Notamacropus eugenii: one gene and its partners. The protein of the gene in region 2 purifies or fractionates together with the protein of the main gene of each other region. This does not show direct contact. Links are inferred from orthologs where the notes say so. Each region holds a gene or a part of one and is shown on either strand. Other genes may lie near its edges.

What was found.
Region 1: the proteins of BPTF (region 2) and HMGXB4 fractionate together in Homo sapiens (co-fractionation; 3 studies listed by BioGRID, with this or other methods). This does not show direct contact. The link is inferred for Notamacropus eugenii from reciprocal best matches to the Homo sapiens genes BPTF and HMGXB4.
Region 3: the proteins of BPTF (region 2) and SMARCA1 purify together in Homo sapiens (affinity purification with mass spectrometry; 4 studies listed by BioGRID and IntAct, with this or other methods). This does not show direct contact. The link is inferred for Notamacropus eugenii from reciprocal best matches to the Homo sapiens genes BPTF and SMARCA1.

Annotation. Positions count from the first base shown.
Region 1 is NC_092874.1:292,389,321-292,396,670, forward strand, and holds the start of HMGXB4 (HMG domain-containing protein 4), read left to right. Parts: upstream 1-4,323; 5' UTR 4,324-4,443; intron 4,444-7,350. UniProt on the Homo sapiens protein: Negatively regulates Wnt/beta-catenin signaling during development.
Region 2 is NC_092873.1:328,044,208-328,052,077, forward strand, and holds the start of BPTF (nucleosome-remodeling factor subunit BPTF), read right to left. Parts: upstream 3,044-7,870; 5' UTR 2,904-3,043; coding exon 2,204-2,903; intron 2,089-2,203; exon of another isoform or gene 1,822-2,088; intron 1-1,821. UniProt on the Homo sapiens protein: Regulatory subunit of the ATP-dependent NURF-1 and NURF-5 ISWI chromatin remodeling complexes, which form ordered nucleosome arrays on chromatin and facilitate access to DNA during DNA-templated processes such as DNA replication, transcription, and repair.
Region 3 is NC_092879.1:51,279,932-51,286,973, forward strand, and holds the start of SMARCA1 (probable global transcription activator SNF2L1), read right to left. Parts: upstream 3,056-7,042; 5' UTR 2,867-3,055; coding exon 2,753-2,866; intron 2,208-2,752; exon of another isoform or gene 1,992-2,207; intron 1-1,991.

The DNA of each region.
Region 1 (7,350 bases), on a different chromosome or scaffold from region 2:
ATTCAAAGGATGGTGGGTTCTTGATAGCAGTGGGGATAGTTTAAGAGGAAGGGTAGAGGTAGGGGGAAGGATAACAAATTTCATTCTGGATATCTGGCACTGGGGAAAATTCTCTTATCTCAATACAAAGGGATCCCCAGTATTATTACCAAGGCTCCAGGTCAGAGGGAGCAGTACCCTCATTACGATCTCTCACGATCCAAGGGAAGGACAATGGAATAGAGACAAGAGACTGGGATTCTAGTCCTGGCTCCAGCACATAACTAAGTGACCTTGGGCAGGTCCCTTTACCATTCTGAGCCTCAGTTTAATCATCTGTAGAATTCACCCAACATTAACCATGCACTTACTATGTGCCAGGCCCTATGCTGGTCACTGCGAGACACACAAAGTTTAGATAATTCAGGCTTCTTGCCCTCACAGAACTCCTAGTCTGGTAGGGGAATAAGACCCCAAAACAAATAAAGATAATATTCCAAATTGCGGGACAATTGCATTGACAGGTTTCAGAACCAAGTGCTCTGGGAGATCAGAAGGGAGGCATTTCTAATCAGGGAAGATTCACTGGGTGAGGTGGAAGCCAAAGGGAGAGACAATCCAACCCCAGGTCGGAGGGGGGGAGAGGGGGGATTGTCAAAGGCTACAGACAACTCAGGGAAGGTGAAGACCTAGTGTAGTGTACTGTTGGGGGGAGGGAGGAATGGTGAGAGGGAGAACCAGTGCAATGGGTGATTCAAAGGGCAGTTGGCGACCTTTAAGGCTTTGAGTAGAGCAGTTACAGCAAAAACTAGACTGCAAGGGGCTGATGAAGGACAAAATGAGTCCCAAAGAAGGAGAAACATTAGGGGTAGGTGACGTTTTTCCCAGCCCTTAATCTTAGTGTCTTTCCTCTCAAATTATTCCCAATTCACCAGAGAGAGACAGAGACAGAGAGACAGACAGAGACAGAGAGACAGAGATAGAGAGACACAGAGAGACACAGAGACAGAAACAGAGAGACACAGAGACATAGAGAGAGACAGAGACAGAGAGACAGAGAGATCCTGTTTAAACATAGTTGCTTTCATGTTGTCTTATTAGGTTGTGAGTTCTTTGAAAGCAAAGAACTTTGTTTTTGTTTTTCCCTTCTTTAGATCCCTGCCTCCTAGCACACTGCCTGGCACATAGTTGGTACCTAATAAAGGCTTACTGACTTGTCAGCTTTTCCAGAACTTTAGCTCCAAAGAAGGAGAGAGAGGTAGGAAGGCATGATAGCTTGATGATCAAGGGTCAAGGAAAGACTTTTGAAGGGTTGGGGAAACCTGATTGTGTTTGAAGGCAGCTGGAAAAACTCTGGTGGCCAAGCAAGCTCTCTAAGGAAATGGAGGAGCTGGTGGGGGGGAAGGGTTCAGTCCAAGGGAGGAATGGGGACCCCCTTTGCATTGAGCAGAGAGAAGAAGAGAAGAGTACGTGATGATGGAACAAGCAGAGGGAGCTCCTGTCAGACATCCTCAATCATTTCTGAAGCAGGAGGCTGTCTGCTTTCATTGAGAGGGTTGGCAATGGAACAGAAGCCAAAACAGGAGAAAGATTTGGAACCATCCTTGTAGGGACATGTAACTCCCACGAGGTGGCGATAAGGAGCAGAAGTGACACTTGCTGGGAAAGCCCTTTGTCATCTGGAGAATCTAGTTGGAAATGTGGGGAATGATAACGATGGAACCCAGAGCATTCTTGCTTCTCCCCTGCCCTCCAGAGCCACCTGGATCAATGTCTCTTCTCTTTGATTCATAATAGCTCTTCAGCAGTCTGAAGGCACTTCCTGGTTCTAAAAATGCAAATAACTTTTGCAATATGTCAGGGGATGATTCAACATGAAAATGATTTCACAATGCGCTCTTACAAAGACAACCCCCATACATTCCCAGCCCTCACTGTGACCCTCTGGAAACTTCCACATAACCATCGACAGCTCCCATTTTCACAGGGTCTTATAGTTAAAAATAAAAAAAAAAACTTTATCCCAACCACCTTTTAAGGTAGATAAAGGATCATTTGTTTTTAGTTTGTTTTTTTCAGTTGCTACTGACTCTTTGTGACCCTATTTGGGGTTTTCTTGACAAAGATACTGGAATGTTGTGTCATTTCCTTCTCCAGCTCACTTTACAGATGAAGAAACTGAGGCAAACAGGGTGAAATGACTTGTTTAGTTGCATCTGACTCTTTGTGACCCCATTTGGGGTTTTCTTGGCAAAGACACTGAGTGATTTACCATTTCCTTCTCTAGCTCCTTCTGCAGATGAGGAAACAGGTAAATAGGGTGAAGTGACTTGCCCAGGGTTACATAGCTAGTTAGTCTGAGGCTGAATTCAAACTAAGGAGATGAGGCTTCCTGACTCCAGGTCCAGCACTCTATCCACTATGGCACCACCTGGCTGTCGTATCTCCATTTTACAGGTATGAAAATTGATGTTCAGAGAAAGGGAGTGACTTACTACAGCCACACAGCCTGTAAGCATCAAAGACTGGATTCCAGTACCAAATCAAGGTATCATTCTACTACACCTCTTTCTCCTACTGAAAGGACTATTTATCCAAAGGAAAATGGACTCAGACTTTGGGGAGAGGGGTGATATTTTATTTTTCAAAATTAAATAGTCAAGAGTATTATCTGCCTTAGATTGGTAAATTTGGAGTCAGAGGACCCAAGTTTGAATCCTTTCACTTACAGTATCTGCCTGTCAAAGTTCCTAGTCCTCAGTTTCTTCCTCTGTGAAATGAGGGTCTTACTTAGACTAGCTGATCTCTGAGGTTCACCAGGGTCAGTGGGTGGAAGATGTAAGAAAGTAGACTTCCTAACAGGAAAGGAAAACCTTCCTAACAATTAGAACAGTGCTAATGTAAAATGGGTGACTTAATAGTCGGTCAATTAGCATCTATTAGGCGCTTTACTGTGCACTAAGCACTGGGACTCCAGAGAAAGGTAAAAGACAATCCAAAATACTTCCAAGGAACTCACCATCTAAAGTGAGGAAGTGAGCTCCCCATCACCAGGGATATTCAAATTGAGGCTAAAGGATGACAGAGGTTGAAGAGGGAAGGAGGGTTGGACTAAGTGGCCTCTGAGGGCCCTCTCATCTCTAAGATTCAATAAAGTCTTGATTCTGTCAACCTAACAAGCATTTAGTAAGGGTCCACTGTATGCAAGGGAGGCACAATGGATAGACCCTGTCACACACTGGCTCAAATATGTACTTAAACCCTCGAGTAGAAATTGCAAGTGATGGATTGGCTGAGAGTTGCCTAAAATAATGAAAAAATAGATTCCTACCTTTAAAAAAAAAACCAGGAATGGAGGTTTTATTTTTAGTTCTGGTCCTATACTTTTATTGGCATAGCGAACTTCTAGGCAGGAAACTCCCTCTACCAATACACACATCAGCTATTTGTGGTTTGTAACCAAAGAGAACAGAAGGGGCAGCACAGAGAAGCAGGCTGGGAGTCAGGAGGCCCTGGGCTCACATCCAACGTGACCCTGAGCAAGTCATGTCACCCTGTTTGCCTCAGTTTCCTCATCTGTCACTGCTCTCTACCCACTTCACTGCCTCTCAGAACTAAAAGACTTTGGGAGAGGGGGCACTAGCCCCTAGGGATGGAGGAAATCCCATCGGTTACAGCTTCCAGGGAGGCAGGCAGCAGGGCGTGGTGGGACTTTGTCCGAAGATCTGGGTTTGAACTGGAACGTTAGAGGAAGTAACAGGATGACTCTGGGCAAGTTTAAATAAAACATCTGTAAAAGGAGGAAGGTTGGTCAAGGTCTCTTCCAGCTCCATGATCCTACAATCAGGTGATGGCACTCTCATGACCTGGGTTCCAATCCTGCCTCTGCCGCTTACCAGTTGGGCAACTCTGGAAGGAAGGAGATAATAAGCACGTATTAAGCTCCTATTACGTGCCAGCCACTGTGTTCAGAGTTCTGTAACTATTGCCTCTTTGGGGCAAGTGCTCTGTGCCTCAGATTCCTCATCTGTAAAATGGGGGTGGTGCTAGCTCCCTCCCAAGGTTGCTAAAGGGACAAATAGAGAAAATGCCTGTCACATGCACAGCAGACCTTAACGCGCCCTGTGGACGCTACCAGCTGTTTTTATCGTTACTCCTCATTGCAACGACCCCGGAGGCCAGGCGCGCAAGTAGCGCAGAGAGCGGGCAGCGCGCGCCGGGGCTGCTGCGGCTGGCGCTGGGGCTGGAGCAAGAGCGCTCCAACAGGTATTCGATGCGCTCGGCGCTCCTCCCCTCTCTCTTCTCCCTCCTCCGCTCCCTCCCCGCCCCTCGGGCTGGCCGCCTGCCGCGGTGGAGGCGCTCTGCGCTCGGCTGCGGAGGCCTAGCGGCTCTCCCCTGTCCTCTCCCTCTCAAGATGGCGGCTGTCGGCGGCGCTGAGGCGGGAGCCGGGCCCGCGGAGTGAAGGTAGCGGCGAGCAGCGACCCCGCCCGTCCCGGCCAGCCGGGGCCCCCTGGCGCCCGCCCCTCCCAACCCGCGCCCAGCCGCCGCCCCAGGCCCGCGCTGGCAGCCCCAGGCCGCCTCCCCGCGCCGCGCGGCCTAGGCCCCGGGCCCGAGCCGGGGGCTGGAGTGGCAGCCACGGCCCGGCGTGAGGCGGCGGCCCGGGGCGGCCGGAGTGGGGCCGACGGGGGCGGGACGCGTTCAAACAGAGAAGGCGGGAAAGTGGCGGCGGGGGCCGGGGGCGGGAGCGCGCGCGCGGGGACGCGCGAGGCCGAGGCAGCCCCGCCCCCCGCGCCTGCCCAGTGCCCGCCCCCGCCGCGGGGGGCGCCCTGGAGGCCGCGGGTTCCGGAGCGAGGCTGGAGCTGGGAGTCGGCAGGCGGGCGCGGGGCTGGTGGGTAGGGGGAGCGCGGATGCAGTGAGCCAGGAGGGTCCAGCCCTGCCCCTTCCACCCTACAGGCGGGGAAACTGAGGCACGGGGCAGGGAAGGAGGGTAGAATGCCCATGTGATCCCGGGGAGGCCGAACCCCCAATCTGGAGCACCCGAGGACGCCAGATTTGGAGCTGGGAGGGATCTTGGAGGTCCAGTTCAACTGCCCTCGGTTTTACAGATGGGGAAACTGAGGCACGGGGCAGGGAAGGAGGATAAACTGCACCTTTGAGCCTGGGGAGTCTGATTCCGCAGCCTGGATCATCCGAGGACGCCAGACTTGGAGGCCAAAGGCACCTCCGGAGCTATCCAACCCAACCTCTTCACCCCCATTTTTTGCAGATGGGGAAACTGAGCAAGAGCAGGGACTTTAGAGGTCAAGTTCAACTGCCCTTGTTTTTACAGATGGGGAAACTGAGGCACGGAGCAGGGAAGGAGGGTAGAATGCCCCTGTGAGCCCAGAGGGGCCGATTCCCCAGTCTGGAGCACCTGAGGACACCAAACTTGGAGCTGAAAGGGACCGTATAGGTCAAGTTCAACTCCCCTCATTTTTTACAGATTGGGAAACTGAGTCAGCACAAAAGCAAGAGAATAGAATGTATCCATGGGTCCAGGTCTTCTGACCCCTAGTGTAAAGAATCCAACGACCCTCACCTTAAAACTGGAAAAGACTTTCGAGGGCATCCAGTCCAATTCCTTCATTTTATTGAGAAGGAAACTGAGTCACAGAAAGGGCTATAGATCCATAGACTTTGAGCTAGAAGGGATCTGAGAGGTCTTCAAGTCTCACCTTCCTGTTTAATGTTAGGGAAACTGAGGCCCAGAAGGGTCATGAGATCGTAGATTTAAATCTAGAAGCATCTCAGTGGTTATCTAGGCTGCCCTCCTCATTTCACAGACCAGGAAATTGAGGCATAGAAAAGGGAAAGAGTATAGAATAGATCAGTGAGTTCAAGTCTTCTGGTCCCATAGAACCATTGACTCAGAACAAGGAAACTTGAGACCCTAAAGGCCTTCTTGGTGCACCCTCCCATTTAGCAGGTGGGGAAACTGAGACTGAGATGTGTGTTAGATTTAGAACCCTAAGTACTTCCTCCAGGCCTTCGTGGTATAGGTGTGAAAACTGAGACCTCGAAAAGGCAAGCAGTTTGCCTAAGAAAGGTAGAAGGTGGTGACAGTTATTCGAACCCTTGACTTCTTCCATTAACCCACAGGAGGGACCAGAACTCATCTATCCTAATTCCCAGTCCCAACTGGAAGAGAATTTGAGGATAATCTAGCCCAGACCCATTTGTAGGTAGGCACTGAACGGAAAGGCAGATATCTGCTCCCCAGGCTGGCAGATCGTGGCTCTAGGAGGGACTTTTAAAAGTGAACTGGTGCAAGCCTGTCATGTTGTCTGTGGTCTCTCTCAAATGCCCATTGAATCCTAAGTACCGGAGATCCAAAGACAAAGCCTAAGCCCCAGAGAATGGACCAGAACTAAGGGCGGCTCCCTGGGCCAGGCTGTCAGAGTATCCTGCCTGGATTTAGAGCTGGCAGGCACGAGAGTTCGTCCCAGGACGCCCTCTCATCTCACAAGTGAGGCCCGGAGAGCGGATTCTGCTCCCCAGTTTAGGGGGTCACCCTCTAGAGCCAGAAGGGGCCTGAGAGGCTCTCTAAGTTAACCCCCTTTTACAGCTAGCAATCTAATCCTACAAGCATTTATTGTAAACACCAGGGCTGTGTTCTAGGTACTAGGGAGAAACAGACCAACAGAGGGGGAGAAACTAGAATCTAGATGTTTCCATTCCCAGCCTACCAGCTCACAAAGAGCACAGATTTTGAGCTGGAAAGGACCTAATAGAGATACCCTGGTCCTAGCCTGCAGTTTTACAAATGAGGAACCAAACTCAGAGGGGGAAAGGGGCTTGTCCTATATTTTAGCTGCATAACTTCTCCACCCAGAGCCTTGCTCCAGTGCCTAATGGGTCCATGAAGGCAGCCTGGGTTCTAGGGAGCCACCTCAGGGGAATCTAAGGGCTGGCAAGGCTTCCGAGGTGACTGTGGCCAGGCTGCAACAAGCCTAGAAGCACTTTCTGCTGAGCCACCAGGAAAAGAGTCATGCTCCCATCGGTGTAGCTGCCATGTGAAGTGGAGACTTCAATAATCTGCACAGTGAATACAACAGTAACTAGTCAGAGGGACCCAAGGGAACAGGTGCAGTCCCCTCCAGATCTCTTCTGGGATTATTCTTCACTAATGTGCTCTGTGTGTGTTAGCCTTGTCTCCAGAGCTGGATCCTAGGATTTCTCCCTGGGAGAGAGCTGAGAGGTCATGATCTCCTTTCCTGGCGGTTCGACTGGGAAAGTGTGCCCCCAGGATGAGACAGTCTTGGTGTCTCTGGGGCTTAACACGGCTCCTGGCACACAGTAGGCACTTAATAAAGGATTCTCGGATTGAGCAAG
Region 2 (7,870 bases):
AACTAAAATATTAGTATTTGTAAACAAGTTTTCAAATTCAAAACATATACCTTACAGAGTTATGGTACCCACTGTAAAATGATAAAAACTTTTCTATTAAACAGACTGAACTACCAGTCTGTACCAAGTACAGACTTTTTAACTACTACCATATGAAAAGGCACATAATAAACCCACCAGTTTAAGACAAAGTTAAAGTGGATGATGACATTTTAAATTAATTAAAGGGAGTAGATATAACTCCTCTTTACTTAGCCTTCAAAAACAGGAGTTCAAGCAAGCTAAAACTGCCTTGCCAAAATGTCTCAACTCTAACTTTAAAAAACTTTCTCCAAAGGAGTGTTATTCAGTCTGCAAGGAGGACTGGAACCTTTCAGTCTGGCTCATTCAGTTGTGTGATCCTTAACAGAAAAAGACTCAAGAGAGAAGAGGAAGAGAAGAAGGGAGAGGGAAGGGGGGGGAGGAGAGAGAAAAAGAGGGGGGAAGGAAGAAGAGGGAGAGGGAGAAGGGGGAGAGGGGGGGAAAGGAGAAAGAGAGAGAGAAAGGGGAGAAAGGGGGGAGAAGGAGAGAAAGTACAAGAGCTGTGATTTCTTAAGGTGAATGCTCTTAGTGGCATACCAACTGACAAAATTGAAATTTGCACACATCACTAATATCTTCAAGAGATAAATGCTTAATGTTACTTTTTCATTTCAGTAAAAGAACAAAAAGAAAAAAATGAACATTTTCTTGCTTTCAGACACGAAATGGCATCTTTAACCCAATCAATGAGTTTCTTTAGAGGCAAAAGAATAGAAATGGATTAGTTAGATGAATTCAATACAAGTTGAAAAATAAAAATTTAAGTATTTCATACTACTTGAACATTTTATCTATAAATACTGATAAAAAATAAAAGGCATCATATTCTTGTAAATTAGAAATATGTTCTTATGAAAATTCACTTGGGGGGTGGAAAGGAGTCTTTAAAAAAGATGCTAATTGATCCCAATCGCCAAAATTACTGAAGAAAAACAGGACAGGCTGCCATTAAAAGCCTTAAATACATTTTTCCACAACTGAGTAAACTGCATCTATCTTGTTTAGCACAAAGCTTCAATCGTGATTTTTAACCAAATGCATTTCAGTACCGGTCTGAAGAAACTTCCTTGAGAAAACAGGAGAGTATGAGTTACCATGGAGGAGCCTCTTACCCACCAAGGCTGAACTTTCAAACTCAATCATCTAAGGTGAAAAAAATCTACACTGTAATAAATCCTCCAGTTCTTTTTTGAAATTGATCCAAAAGTTGATCTTCAAAATTTACTTTCAACGATCAACTCCATCTTCTGCAACAGGTGACATGAAACTCTACTCCCCAAGGAACATGGGGGTGCTTCTAAGAAGGAAACTGCTTACATGAGACTGAGGGAGACAAATATTGTCATCTGGGATTTTACAAAACTGAATTTTAACCAAATGTACTCTTTTAGTCGGATTTTTTTTTAAAGCAGCCACCTAAGGGCAACTGTTGCATGTGCCCGTGAACACACAAAGAATGAAAACAAACACACGTATGGCTAATTAAGGTTTCCCCCAACAACACAAGTGGTGGAGCTAATTCCTTGAGACAATTGCAAAACCACACAAAGCAAGAAATGTGAAAAGAAAAGAAGCACGAGTAGAAGCAACATTATGTACATGTTTACACCCTAAACAACTCCCTCCGTAGGATCCCTGCTAAGAGAGGAGACTCAGCCACTAAAGAGAATTCACATTAAGCCATGCAAAGTGGCTCGCTACACAAGAGGATTCTTCACCTTAAAAAAAAAAAAGGAAGGCGATGGCTACGTGCATGGCCGTCTCAATCCTGCCTGGAGGAAAGGCTGCACTAGCTCCAGTTTTGGGGGTGGGGGGAAAGTGGGGGAGAGGGAGAGAGAGAGTGTGGCCTGCCAACTGCAACAATGCAATCTCCATTTTGAACAATGCACCTCTTTCCTCTGGTAAATCTAGTTTTTTGCCACTTGATGTGCGATTGCATTTCCCCTCTCTTTGGGGGTGAGATGGGGGGTGCCGCTACAGCAGGATGCACCGTGCAGGACGGACACGGTGAGTGTGTGTGTGTGTGTGTGTCTTCGGGGTGGAGGGGTGAGGGGTGGATGGAGCAGGGGGAGAAGGTGGAGGGTGGAAGGCTAGCCCCGAGGCGGCCGGGCTGGGTGGGTACCTGGGGTGCTGCTGTAGGTGCTGTGGCTCCTGAAGCTGCTCTCGGTGCAATAGCTGGCATCGTCGTCGTCTTCCATTTCCTCGGGATAATCGGAGTCGTCGTCGTCGTCGTCCTCCTCCATAATATCTTCCTCCTCCTCGTCCTCCTCGGAGTCCTGCGTCTCCTCGGGGTCCCCCTCCTCCTCCTCCTCTTCCTCGGAGACCATGTCCTCGTCCTCGTCCTCCTCCTCGCTCTCGTGGTCATCGTACACCACTTTGCTGATGCTCCTCCTGGACGGGGTGGCCCGGGCCAGGTGGCCTCCGCTGCCGCCGCCGCCGCCGCCGCCGCCGCCCCCGCCTCCAGCTCTGCCTCCCCCGCCTCCTCTCCCCCCCCGGCCCGGGGCGCCGGCGCTGGGGCTGCTGCTGGGGGGGGCGGCCGGCGGCGGCGGCGGCGGCGGCGGCGGCGGTGGCGGAGGCTTCCTCCGGCTACCGCCGCCCCCCCTGGGGGAGCTCAGCCGCGCCTTGGGCGCCACCTCTGCCTGGGCGGCGGCCCACCTGCCCCGGCTGCTGCCTCGGTGCCGGGAGCGGAGCCCCCCGATGGGCCCGGCCGGAGGCGGCGGTGGCGGCGGCGGCGGCGGCGGCGGCGGCGGGGGAGCCGGGGCGCCGCGCTCCGCAGCGCCTGCCGCGGGCTGCTTGGGCGGCCTGCCCCGCCTGCCCCTCATGTCGGAGCCGAGGAGGGAGGGAGGGAGAAGGGAAAGCCGAGGGGGGGAGGGGGACCGGCCGAGAGGCGGCGGTGGGGAGCCGCTGGGGGCGGGGTGGGGAGCCCCGCGGGGTCGGGGCGGGGGGGGCCCGGCCGGCGGAAGCGGGTGGAGGGAGAAGGCTCAATCCGAATTGCCGGCGCCCCGCTCCCGATCGCCTCCAGCCGCCATCTTGTTTCTTCCCTCTCGCTCGGTGACTGGGGGAACCGACAGCGGCAGCAGGCCTGGAGCGCGGTCACGTGAACGCCCCCGCCGACGAGGCCGAGGCCGACGCAACGCAGCCTCCTCTAGGGGGAGCGCGGGAGCCTGCAGCCCGGCCCGGCCAGCTGGCGGGGGCGCGCAGAGGGGGGAGCCCGGGAAGCTTGGGGCCCGGGGCGCTGGGGGCCCTGAAGGACCGGAACGGGGGGCGGCGAGGGGTGAACTAGGTATTTTAAATGAGCCCTACCCCTCTTGGTGACGAAGACCCAGCCAGGGAGAGACTATCGGGACTATTACAGTCCTTACCTCTCCACCCATTCCTCCCCCCCCCCCAGTAGCTGAAAAACCCGAGAAAAGGGAAAACCCCCAAATTAAAGTGGTGGAGAGACCCCTCCCAACAAAACTGGAGCCAAACTAGATTTGCAGGCGCGATGCTGAGCAGTGCTGCATGGGGACCGGGGGAGGAAGTAGGAAGGGGGGGAGGAGCAAGCATTTCAGCCGGAGCGAGACACTGAGGCCGGGCACTGGGCAGCACCAGAGACAGAGACCCTGGGAGGGAGTGCCTGCGGGCGGCAGAGAGGACTCGCGAGCACTCGGGGAGCGCTGGGTCCTGGAAAATCCTGCCTCCGAACCCTAACCACGACACCTCTGAGGGTTCAGGAACCCCGCCCCTGCTCTTCCAGAGTAGCATTAAAGGCGACTCCAGAAGTGAGGACTGTACTGGAGAGGCACCAGCCCCGCCGCCCCGGCTCTGGGGTTTGACAGCTTCGGTCCGAAAGTGCCTCCCCACGCAGCCGGCACGCGCGGTGGCAATAACCCGCATTGATCCTCTTCCACTTCCCCATGCACCTAGACACGCAGAAGTGAAGTGCTCCTAAACTTCAGACAAACTTCCCAGTGCCACCCTTGCCCGGCTGTTTACTCCCAACGTTTGAGGCTTTCATTTTTAAAGACGACCACCTGTTAATTTCATTTTTAATTGGGTATATTTAGGATTTAATGTAGCATTGTATCTTAATTACAATACAATGGTGTTCTATGCCACTACAAGTCATTGGTAGGCCGCTGAGGTTCATAAGGAGGACTGGACCCTTTCTAAAGTAGTGGGACAAATCTTCCTCTATGTACACCTCGCACCCTCGTGGATCTGTGGCAAGGATATGCAAGCTACCCACATACACATACCTACACTATTCTGTGAGTTGGGCCAGTGAACGATACTGAGGAAACACCCTAACCTCTATGAACAGTAGAGCAAAGGATGATTGGGAGGAGGGAAAAGATCGAACTTCCCTATAGGTTTCTCCCAGAGTCCTGGCCTCCGTACACTTCTGACTACCTTTTAAATTGCAAGTGCCCCTGGTGGCATTCCGATGTTCAATTTTCTAAGCTAACATCTGAATTATCTGCTAAGGATTAGCTAACATTCAGCTGAGGAAGCAACAATGGGATACAGGAAAGGTACACAGAAGCAAAAAGGCGCTGATTTTTAAAGCTCAAACTTTACCGCTTTCACAATTAATGTTGTTTAACCCTTAAGGCCCTGATCATGCCACTCAAAACTTACCTGCATGTCACCTTCGACATGCTGGAACCACCATCATTACTACTGATAATAAATCAACTGACTCACACTTGCCATGTTGCTGTCACTGTGCTAGGTGCTGGGGATTGTTTCAAAAATGGAAATAATCCCTACTTTCAAGGAGCTTGTATATTAATGGAGGAGATCGTATATGTTATACCTCCTCTGGGCCCTCAAGTCTGCGGCTGGGATCACCAAAGTGGTGACTGTTACCTCTGGCTTTTGGGGTTTTTTATTTGTATAACCCAACGAGTGGCTACTCCTACTATTGTTGCTCATGAAGCCTGACCAGTGTGTTTTCTCTTATCAGCCGCAGCAAAAACAGTTGATACAAAATATTCTTTCAGAAAAAAAACCTGGAACACTTTCTCCAACAAATACACAGTCTCAAGTGATAGGCACATATTTAAAGAATACTAATGAGGTATTCAAATAGGGAATTCTCACAGCTAAGGCAACTTATAACTGTGGAACTGCAGGGACTTAATGTCATTTCTCTATCAAGTCCTCACAAAGCTCATTGTGGGTGAGATATTCATGAAGGCTGGGATTCTCTGATGCTAGTATAAACTGGCTTCCCTCAGAGCGTATCATCTCTGATGGATGAGTGACTGATTTGGTCTTGCTTGTCACAGAGAAAATTGTCTAAAAAACTAAAAATGAAAGTCTATGGGTTTTGAAGAGTAAACTAACCCCTCCTGTAGCTGCTAATGAGTATGTGGAAAAATTGTTTGGTTAAAAATCTGAATGGACCTGTAACTCCCCCAAATCCAGATTATGAGCTTCTCACCAGTCCCTGATATCACTCCTTGATAGGCAGCTGTGTCTTCACCATGTCCAGCCTTATACTTGTCTGGAATGTACACTATACTCTTTCAGAAAAGACAGAGGCCTTTACCCTTAGATTAGCAGAAACTCCAATTCTGTTCCTTCAGGACATTGGCTCTGAGGTTTTCACCTCTCAGGCAGAAGGTAGAAGAGTTATGGCCAGCGGTAAGTGATAGCCAGCTCATACTAAGCTGATTATCACATTTTCAATAGGAGCATTTATACCTCAAAAATCAGCACATGATTTTTTGATTATCTAAACTTGAGAAAGTGATAGGAATAAAACCATTATTAATGGAGATTAAACTTATGTATGGAGCATCCACCCTCACCCACCCCACGCCCCTTGCCAAGAGCTAGTTGTTAAACATTTTTACCAGTACAATGCTGGGTATAGCTTTTCCTTTTAGCCACTTTTCCCAGTTCAGGGCTGGGATCTTTCACTGAGGGACCTCATCCTAATTTACAGTGACCAATCAGTTGTTTGTTCAATCATGTTTGACTCTGCATGACCCCATGTCCACAGAAATTCCTTAGCAAAGATACTGGAGTGGTTTTTCATTTCCTTCTCTGGTATGTCCCCATTTTACAGATGAGGAACTGAAGCAAATAGGGTTAAGCGACTTGCCTAGAACCACATAACTAGTAAGTGTGTGAGGTCACATTTGAACTTAGAAAGATGAGTCTTCCTATCTCCACATCCAGCACTCCATCCACTTCACCACTCAACTACCCTGGCCAACTAGTATTTTTCCCAAAATTCCATTTCTGCAGGTTAGGTCATTATCAGCCTATAACCACGTAGCAAATAATCACCAAAAGGTCTGAGGTTTGGGGTGTCCCAGTTTGGGGGGGGGGTTGTTTTATTTTGTTTTTATCTCTAGTTTCCTCCTATTAGTCCTTGGAATGAATGGCTGAGGAAAAGGTACTGAGTTAGATAATTTCTGCCCTGGCAGCAAGTTCATTTTGTTTGCTGGTTGTTCAGATGCTTCCTAACTTTTTCATATACAAAGGAGAAGTTCAAAGGCCTTTAAGACACATTTTCAGTTGTATGAGACTCTTTGTGACCCCGTTTGGGGTTTTCTTGGCAAAGATTTCCTTCTCCAGCTCATTTTACAGATGAAGAAACTGAGATAAACAGGGTTAAATGACTTCCCTGTGTGGCAGGGTCACAGAACTAGTGTCTAAGCACTGATTTGAACTCAGGAAGATGAGTCTTCCTGAATCCAGGCCCATCTCTCAATCCACTAAACCACCTACCTGCCCATTGAGACAGGTCGGATGATTCTATCATATTTGAAAGACCCTTATTCAGATCTCATGTCAATCAATCAGTATTTATTAAGTGCCTACTTTATTAAGTGCCTGGGGAATCTAAGAAGGGGCAAAAGACAGTCCCTGTCTGTTATACATGTGTGGTTTTTTCTTTGCAGAAATATTTCAAATGCTTCTTTTATTGAATATCTATGTTTTTTCATTGATATTAGGCTTAGATTTTTAGGGTACATCCTTTTGGGTTGCATATTGAGCTCCTTTGCCTTTTCTTCCATTCTCTTCTATGATTTTTGGTGGGTGAAAATATTCTTATGTTATTCTAATCTCCTTTCCTTTACATCTTAAGGTTTTTATTCTGATTACTTCTTTGTCACCAAAATTGCTAAATTTAACCACTGTGTGTTTTGGAGTGTGAAACATAAGTTATTTTGTTTTCATGGAGTTCATCTATGAATTCTTTCAATTAGCTCTTTGTTATTCATATTCAAAAGTTCTAGGAAATTTTCTTATATTATTCTTAGCATTATGGTGTTCAGGCTTTTTGATTTGTCATGTTATTTGTTGGCTTATGATCCTTACGTTGTCTCTGGATCCTGTCTTTGAGAATAATATGTTTTGCTCATATAGATAGCTTGCATTATTTTAACATTTTTGCTTTTTTCTTCTTCCAGATAATCCTTCACTTCAATATATTTATATTCCTAATCTATTGTCTTTTTCACTTCTTTGGACAGACTCACTCCCATGAACTCAAGTTTTTCTCTTCTGCTAATTATTTCTGCTGTGTAAGCCATACATTTTGCCATTTGTTCCTGCCTAACTTCTCTCAAGATTCTGATTTCTCTCTTGCCATTAAGGAACCAACATCCATGCTCCTGGTAATCCACAGAATTTTGTGTTTAATCAGGCGTTGTTTTAGTTTCCTTTTCTAGCAAGATTATTTAGGGATAGTTGCAATCTTTTAGATGTTTTGGTACTCATATTCCCTTCTAACCCAATTAAATATCTTTACGTTAAATTTAATTAAATCAAGCATTTAGAGAGT
Region 3 (7,042 bases), on a different chromosome or scaffold from region 2:
GACAGAGAAAAACAAAAAGCACAACAGCTTGTAATCACTTAAAATATAACATATTAACCTAACCTTACTCAGCCTCAGTTTGCTTATAAAATGAGGATAATAAAAGCACTTACCTCTCCCAACAGTGGTGAAGATCAAATGAGATAGAAAAGTGAGTTGAAAACCTTAAAGTGTTATTTAAATGCTAGCTAGGTATTATTATTGTTATTCAAATAGATCTACAAAGAAAGTCCCCAAGGGCAGAGGGTAAATGGGTCATTAAATTTTCTCCTTCAGTAGAATGAGGCTAATAATATCATCTCTTTTACTAGGTTGAAAAGTGAGGATCAAGTGAGGCGATATAAGGGGAAAGTCATTGGCCAACCTTAGAGAAAGTTATGGAGGGAGAGGGCGGGGCAGGGGTGGGGGGGAGGTTCCAAAAGTCTTAGTGAAGTTTTAAGTCATTTAAACCGAGAACTAAGTCATTTGGAACACCCCACATAAATACTATCATCATTATCAATAATAATAAAGATTATTCTTTTCTTTTCTTTTTATTCAGGGAGCTACAACTGGTTAGAATGAGCAAGACCCGAGTCTGAATCCTGTCTCAGCCCCTGGGCAATCTCTTAAGCTCAATGCCTTAGTTTCTTCATCTGTAAAATGGGTGTTATAATAGCACCTACCTCGCAGGGTAGTTGTGCAGATCAAACGAGTTAATAGATTGTAAAGTGCTTTGCAAACTTTAAAGCGCTATGTAAAAACACTACCTATTTTTTAAATTTTATTTTCTGTTATTTCATTAGTGTGGCTAGTCCCTCTACCAATGCAAGTCACAACCCATACATAACTTAGTAAAGACAAGTCTTCAGAAATTATTGCACCTCAAAAATTCCCCACCCTGAGGTCAACCTTGTTCATTCATTGATCCTTTCTTGACAGCTATTCTGTTCCTTAGACAACAGACGCACAACTGATATACAGGCTCTGACTCAAAGCTTGGGAAGGCCCAGCCCAGGATGTACAACTGTTTTTCCAGCGTCCTTGTCCTTGTCCTCCATAAATCCTCCACTGGAGGCCCTCTTATGAGTCTTCAGCTGGGCGGCCATGAGGGAAGCTAAAATGTCCCACCTCCTTTTCCCATCATTCATCTATGTCTTCAGTATCTTTTACTTTTCTTGCTCATAAGTCATCATTATTAATATGCTGCAACCTACTTACACCCAGTATACAATTTTCTGTGACTACATACAATATATACAGTGTGTCCCCAAAGTCTAATCGCAGTTTAAAGTTTGTTTGTAATGGTTGAAAAGTGCACTAAGACTTTTGGGACACCCTGCCTAACAGGAATGGGAGGGTTAAGGCATTCAGTGTTCACAAATTCTATTGTGCTTTTTATAAAGAGGAAAGTAAATGCCAGGGCACAGCACTGGCCTTAATGATGAAGTACCATCCTATTTCACAGTTTGGGAGATTTAAAGTGTTATTGGACACTTGAAAGTACAGTGTCATTCTCAGGGAATAAGACATACATGCTCTTTCGAGTCTTTATTTAAAAACTGGTTAAGATTTGCTCCCTACTGTTGTTTGTGGCAAAGTCTGGTTGAATTTATTAGAGGGAGGTTTGAACATTTTCAAGGGTCAAGTGGCAAAGGAACTCAGAATTTCACTAAACAGGCTCCTTTTAGGCTGTGTTCCTCTTCCAGCTTCTAACAGTAAAATCTGCCACAGGTTCTTTGGGAGGAAAAAAATCTGCTGACTTTTAAATCACTCATAAGGATGAGTAGTAAGTGATTTTGTGACGTGGTAAGGCAAGAGAGAAGTTATTAATTGCCCTGGAAAGGTTGACATTTGGTCCTCTGACATCACCATCACGTCATAATCCAAGCCAGGTCACTTGACGGCCGGGCAGCATCACGTTAATTACCTTACATAGTAAAAATGCAAGCCTGGCACGCCTTAAAAGGTAAAATCTCAATATATGGAGATGCTATCACAAAAGCAATTTTGAACAACAACAGCCCAGCTGTCCCTATACTATCTCTAATGGGGAAAACTTCGAGCTCTGGTTCTTCATCATGCCTCCGCGGTTCTGTGCCCGAAGATGGGGAGCAGCAAAGCATCAATTCTATAGGGCAACCATCAGAGCAGACCCAAGCCCATCCGGGAAGCGGAGGGTGGCTCATCCCCAAAGATGCCGGTTTAAAGAAAAAATTCAACTGCGTGTATGTCGGGGGACCGGCTGAGGCTGAAGGAAAGAACGGGAAACAGGAGACAGACAGCAGCAGAGAAGGCCCTGCTCCTGGGAGGGACTACAAGCGAGGGGGAAGGGAAAATTCAGGGGCTGCTGTCCAGGGTGGCCTGGCTAGGACGATGGGGGTGGGGATTGCCAGGGCCAGAGACGATTTCTTTTCCACCCCCCAATCCCCGAGGCCCGGCTAGCCAATGAAAACGACTCGCTCGAGCTTTCCCCATCCCAGCAAGAGAGATCCAAATTAGCTTCTTTTCCCAGCCCCTCGGGAAGTGTAGGGCCCCTCAAGGGCTCGGCCCCCGCGCCCCAGCCCAATCGGCCCCCCTTTTCTCTACCTCTCCTTGCTCCTCCCCCCCTCCCCGCCTCCTCCCTCAGGCCCATGCCGCCGGCTCCGACGGTGGGCGCGGAGGGGGTCACCCCTGCAGGCAAGGGCGCCGAGGCTGGAGAAGTGAGGCAGCGCGAGGCTCCCCGCCGCCCCCCACCCACCCCACCCCCCGCCCCACGGCAGGCTTAGCCTACCTCCTCTTCCTCCTCTTCCCCCCGGTCCCCGGGGGCCGCTCCCGCCTCCCGAACTGTGGACGGTCCCGGCTCCTCCTCCGCTCTGGCCCCAGGGCCAGACTGCTGCAGCTCCATGAGCTCGGCGGCTGCGGCGGGGAGGCCGCGGGCTCGGAGTTCGGAGCTCGGGACTCGGGGTTCAGGCCGATCTCGGGAAGCTGGGCAGGAGAAGCGGCCAGCTGCGAGCCCCCTCGGCTGAGCAGGGGAGAAGGGAGCCAAGAGCACAGAGCCGCCGCCCCCTTCTCCTTCTCAGCCCTCCTACGTCACGGCCTCCCCCCTCCCCTCCCCGCCCCCCGTGGCCCCCCTCCCGGCGCCCCCCACAACAATCGCGAGACTCCCCCCTCCCAACCCGCGCCGGAGCGTTCGTTCAAACGCGCTCTCCCCGACACCCCCCCCGACCTCGACCCCTAGCGCACCCAATAGACCACCCGTAGATGGGGAGAAAAGGGAGGGGGAAAAAGGAGAGGAGAGAGGGAAGGGGGAGGGGGAACCAAACTGAGGTCCAGCTTCTTTTTTTTTTTTTTGGTTGTTTTGTAACCTCCAAGGGCTCTTGGTTCCCTGCTTATAAAATTCCCTGAGCAAAGCTCCACCCAGGCCTTTAGGCCCAGACCAGTGATGGACTCTCTGGCCACCCCCAAAACCCAGAAACTCGCTGGCCCTTCCTTTGTTGGAAGGGGCTGCGGGATTACCACCTTCTAGTCCCATCTCCTCCATTTACAGGTGGGAAAACCCAGCACGCAGAAGCAAAGGAAGAGGCATCCATAGTCACACAGCAAGCGGTTTTCTGACTTAACAGCCGGCATTCGGCTCCTGGAGCAGACTGGGCACTCAGATATTGGGTGCATCTAAAAACAATTTATGTCTACAGTCCCAAACGGGAAGCTGGGCAATTTGCATTCTCCAGGCCCCCCACTGAGACTGACACAGTGGGATGAGCAGTCCTCCCAAAGGCCTTCACTTGTCAATGCTAACCCAAAGTTTCACATAGTACCTGGCACATAGTAGGTGCTTAATAAAGGCTTCTTGATTTGACTTGAACTCCTGTGTTTTTTTCCCTCTATTTTCTTTCCAACCTGCAGAGTTTAAATTATCCGTCATTAAAAAAGGTTTAAAAGAAAGCAGTGTACCCCCCCCCCCCTCCAAAAAGCTACAGATTGAAAAATTGAGAATTAATTAGTTCCACCCTGGGGACCTTGCCAGTCTGCTTTCTAATCCAGTCTATCAACCATTTCTTTAAATCCCTAATGTGGAGAAGGTAACCTGTCACTGTGGACCAAAACCTAGCTCTGGAATGAATAAGAGAATTTGGATTGAAATGTCTACACCTGTAATTTCGAGCAAGTCCCTTCACCTCTCTGGCCTCAGTTTCCTCCTCTGTCCAATAACAGGGCTGGACCAGGGAGCTTCTGAGATCCCTTCCAGCTCCACAGCTATGATTCTATGTGTCAGGCACTTTGGGATGGAGGCAGGGAGAGGAGAAAAACACCTTTCTCCCTCCTTTCCCTACAAAAATACCTCCACAACCTAGCAAATGTCTAAAATTACAAGATCAGAGAGAGCTTCATTGCTTTCACTAAAGATTATATAAAGCACATCAGAAAACATAACTAGCCAAGGAAGAGAGAAGTTTTTAATTATTGCAATTTATGAGAAAGATTCCCATTTCCTTGGGCAAGTTTTGATTGTGGGAAAGGGGGCTTGAAAGATCTGGGTGGCTAGGAGAGATATCCACCAATAATGCGCACAGAAAGGGGAGACTCTCAGAGATACCAGCTTCAATTCTTTCATATCCTTAATTCTCTCTCCAAAATTCTTCCTGCTCACTTTGGAAACTCACCAGATTGTCAGTCCCTCAAGTGGGAACAACTCCGACTTTGCAGAGTGCTGAGAATCGAGGGCTTTGGCTGGAAAATCAGAAGACAAGAGTTTCGCTCCAGGCTCTGCATTCACTGTATGACCTTAGGGCAAGTTCCTTCCCCCCCTTCTTGGGGCCTCAGTTCCTCATCTGGAAAATGAAGAGCCCCTTCCAGCTCTCAGTTCTTTGATCACACAAATACACTCCTTTTTCTTTTCTCTGCAATTCATTTCCTTACAAAGGCAGGAGAAAGGTGCCCACTAAAGGAGGCCTTCATTGATCAATTGCCTACTTTTGAGCCCTTGGAAACAGGATTACATTTTCCCAGGAAAATAAACAATTTGATTTTAAAACCACACTGTTTAAAAGTGTATATTCTGAAAACTTCCTATATATGTATATTATCATAAAGTCAGAGACCTAGTTTGATCCCTTTATTTTACAGATGAGGAAACTAAGGCTTGGGGAGAATAAATGACAAGATCACACAGGTAGTATCAGAAGTAGGACCTGAACACCCACTTGGTCATACTTCCCTTTGGACCAGACATCACAGCATATTAGGTAGAGGCCTGGCCTTGGAGTCAAGAAGATCTGGATTCAAGTCCCATCTGTAACATATACTGACTGTATAGACAAGACATAACTTCTTGGGGCAGCTAGCTGGCAAAGTGGATAGGAAGATTACTTACCAGGGATACCATAGAGGGGAATTCTTAGTCAGGTCTGAGTGTTGAATTAAATAGGTGATGTCTCTTCCAGTTCTGACATTCCAGGATTCTCTGACTTATTTCAGGGTATCCAATCTTGTTTACAAGCTGACAAAAGATCTTTAAAGAGTTACTGCTACTGTCTAATACTCTCCTAAGACAGGGATCACCACGGGTATAACAGTTTCAATATTGTCCCGATGTTTTTCTCAGATCTGGCATCTTGACAGATACACCAAACCACACTGTGATTCCACTGACAGAGTTCCATAGTTAGGCCCAAAGGACTCTGGCTCTAAATCTTAATCAAAAGAAAGTTTGTCTTCTGAAGAGAGATTACTACAAGGAGCTTCCTCAAAATCCTGAGGAATTGCCCCAGAACTTTGTATATAATGAGGAAAAGTTAATGCAGTTTAGAAGTGGTTGAACAAATAGTGCCAGATGAATGGGATGGGATATTGCATGCAGGGAGAAATGACAAATAGGAGAAATTCAGAGAATAGACAAGATCTATTGATAGGCACCAGGAGGTCCTGGGGATATAATTACAAAGCAAGAAAATCACCCCTGAACTCAAGGAATTTATATTCTATTAGGCAAGACAATATACACACATAATTAGATTACAGAAAAAAAGTAAAATCTTCACAGAGGAGTTGGGACCACTAGAAGTTGGAGGGGCTCCCTAGTGGGAAAGAGGGAATGTAGGAGCACAATTTCTATGCTGATGGAAATGAAAAGATCGCTAAAAAAAAGAAATTGAACCCTAAGGGGGGGGGGGGGAAGCAAAACCAAAACAAGGCATCCAAGAATGGAGAAAGAAAGATTGTGTTATGAAGATAAAAGGCCTCAATAAAGTTGCTATTAAAAAAAATAACAATGCAGATTGCTTTGAATCAGGATTTCTTGTGTCCCACAGACCCATTGAGGTTGGGAGCCATTGTGGTGATGGAAAAGAAGGTTTAGATTTGGAATCAGAAGTTTCCAGTTCCCAACTCTGCTGAATTACAACTGTCAGTCCCTCAAATCACTTATCTTGGTGAGGCCCAATTACCTAATTTGGAAAATTCACATCATAAAGGCCTGCTTACCTCATCAGGCTCTTGTGAGGTCAGTACCCCAGACAGTATATAAGGGGGTGCCCGGGCTGGGACTGGCACTGCTGTGCTTTAAAAACAGCCTTGTAAAGATGGTGTATAATACAGTAAGCTCACTTCTCTCTTTATGCATATATAAAGATAGATATATATATTTATCTATTATCTATTTATATCTATATATGCATATATACATATGTATGGATATAGCCACACATACATGCACACAAATATGTTTATTTAGGAGTTCTCTTTGACCTTTAATAGCATTTGATAACCTTTCTAATGTTAATCTACATTCATCTCCCTAGATTTTCCCCCTTTTGATCCATCATAAAGTGTCATCTTAGCTTAGCTTGCCACTAAGCTGATCTCCCTGATCCTTAGTTCTTTATCCTAAGTACTTGTCATTCTGCCTTTCTCAGGACAGGGTCAAAAACCCTGCAGCATGTCAAGGCTGATCTCAAACCAAAGACTCCAATCTCTGGGGGGATAGAGCTTCTCCAGCTCCCCATGAGAGCAAAATGGAGAAAAAAGCAAATAAGAGGAGAAAAATAAGACAATGTTGTAAGTAAACATCAACAGCCAGGCA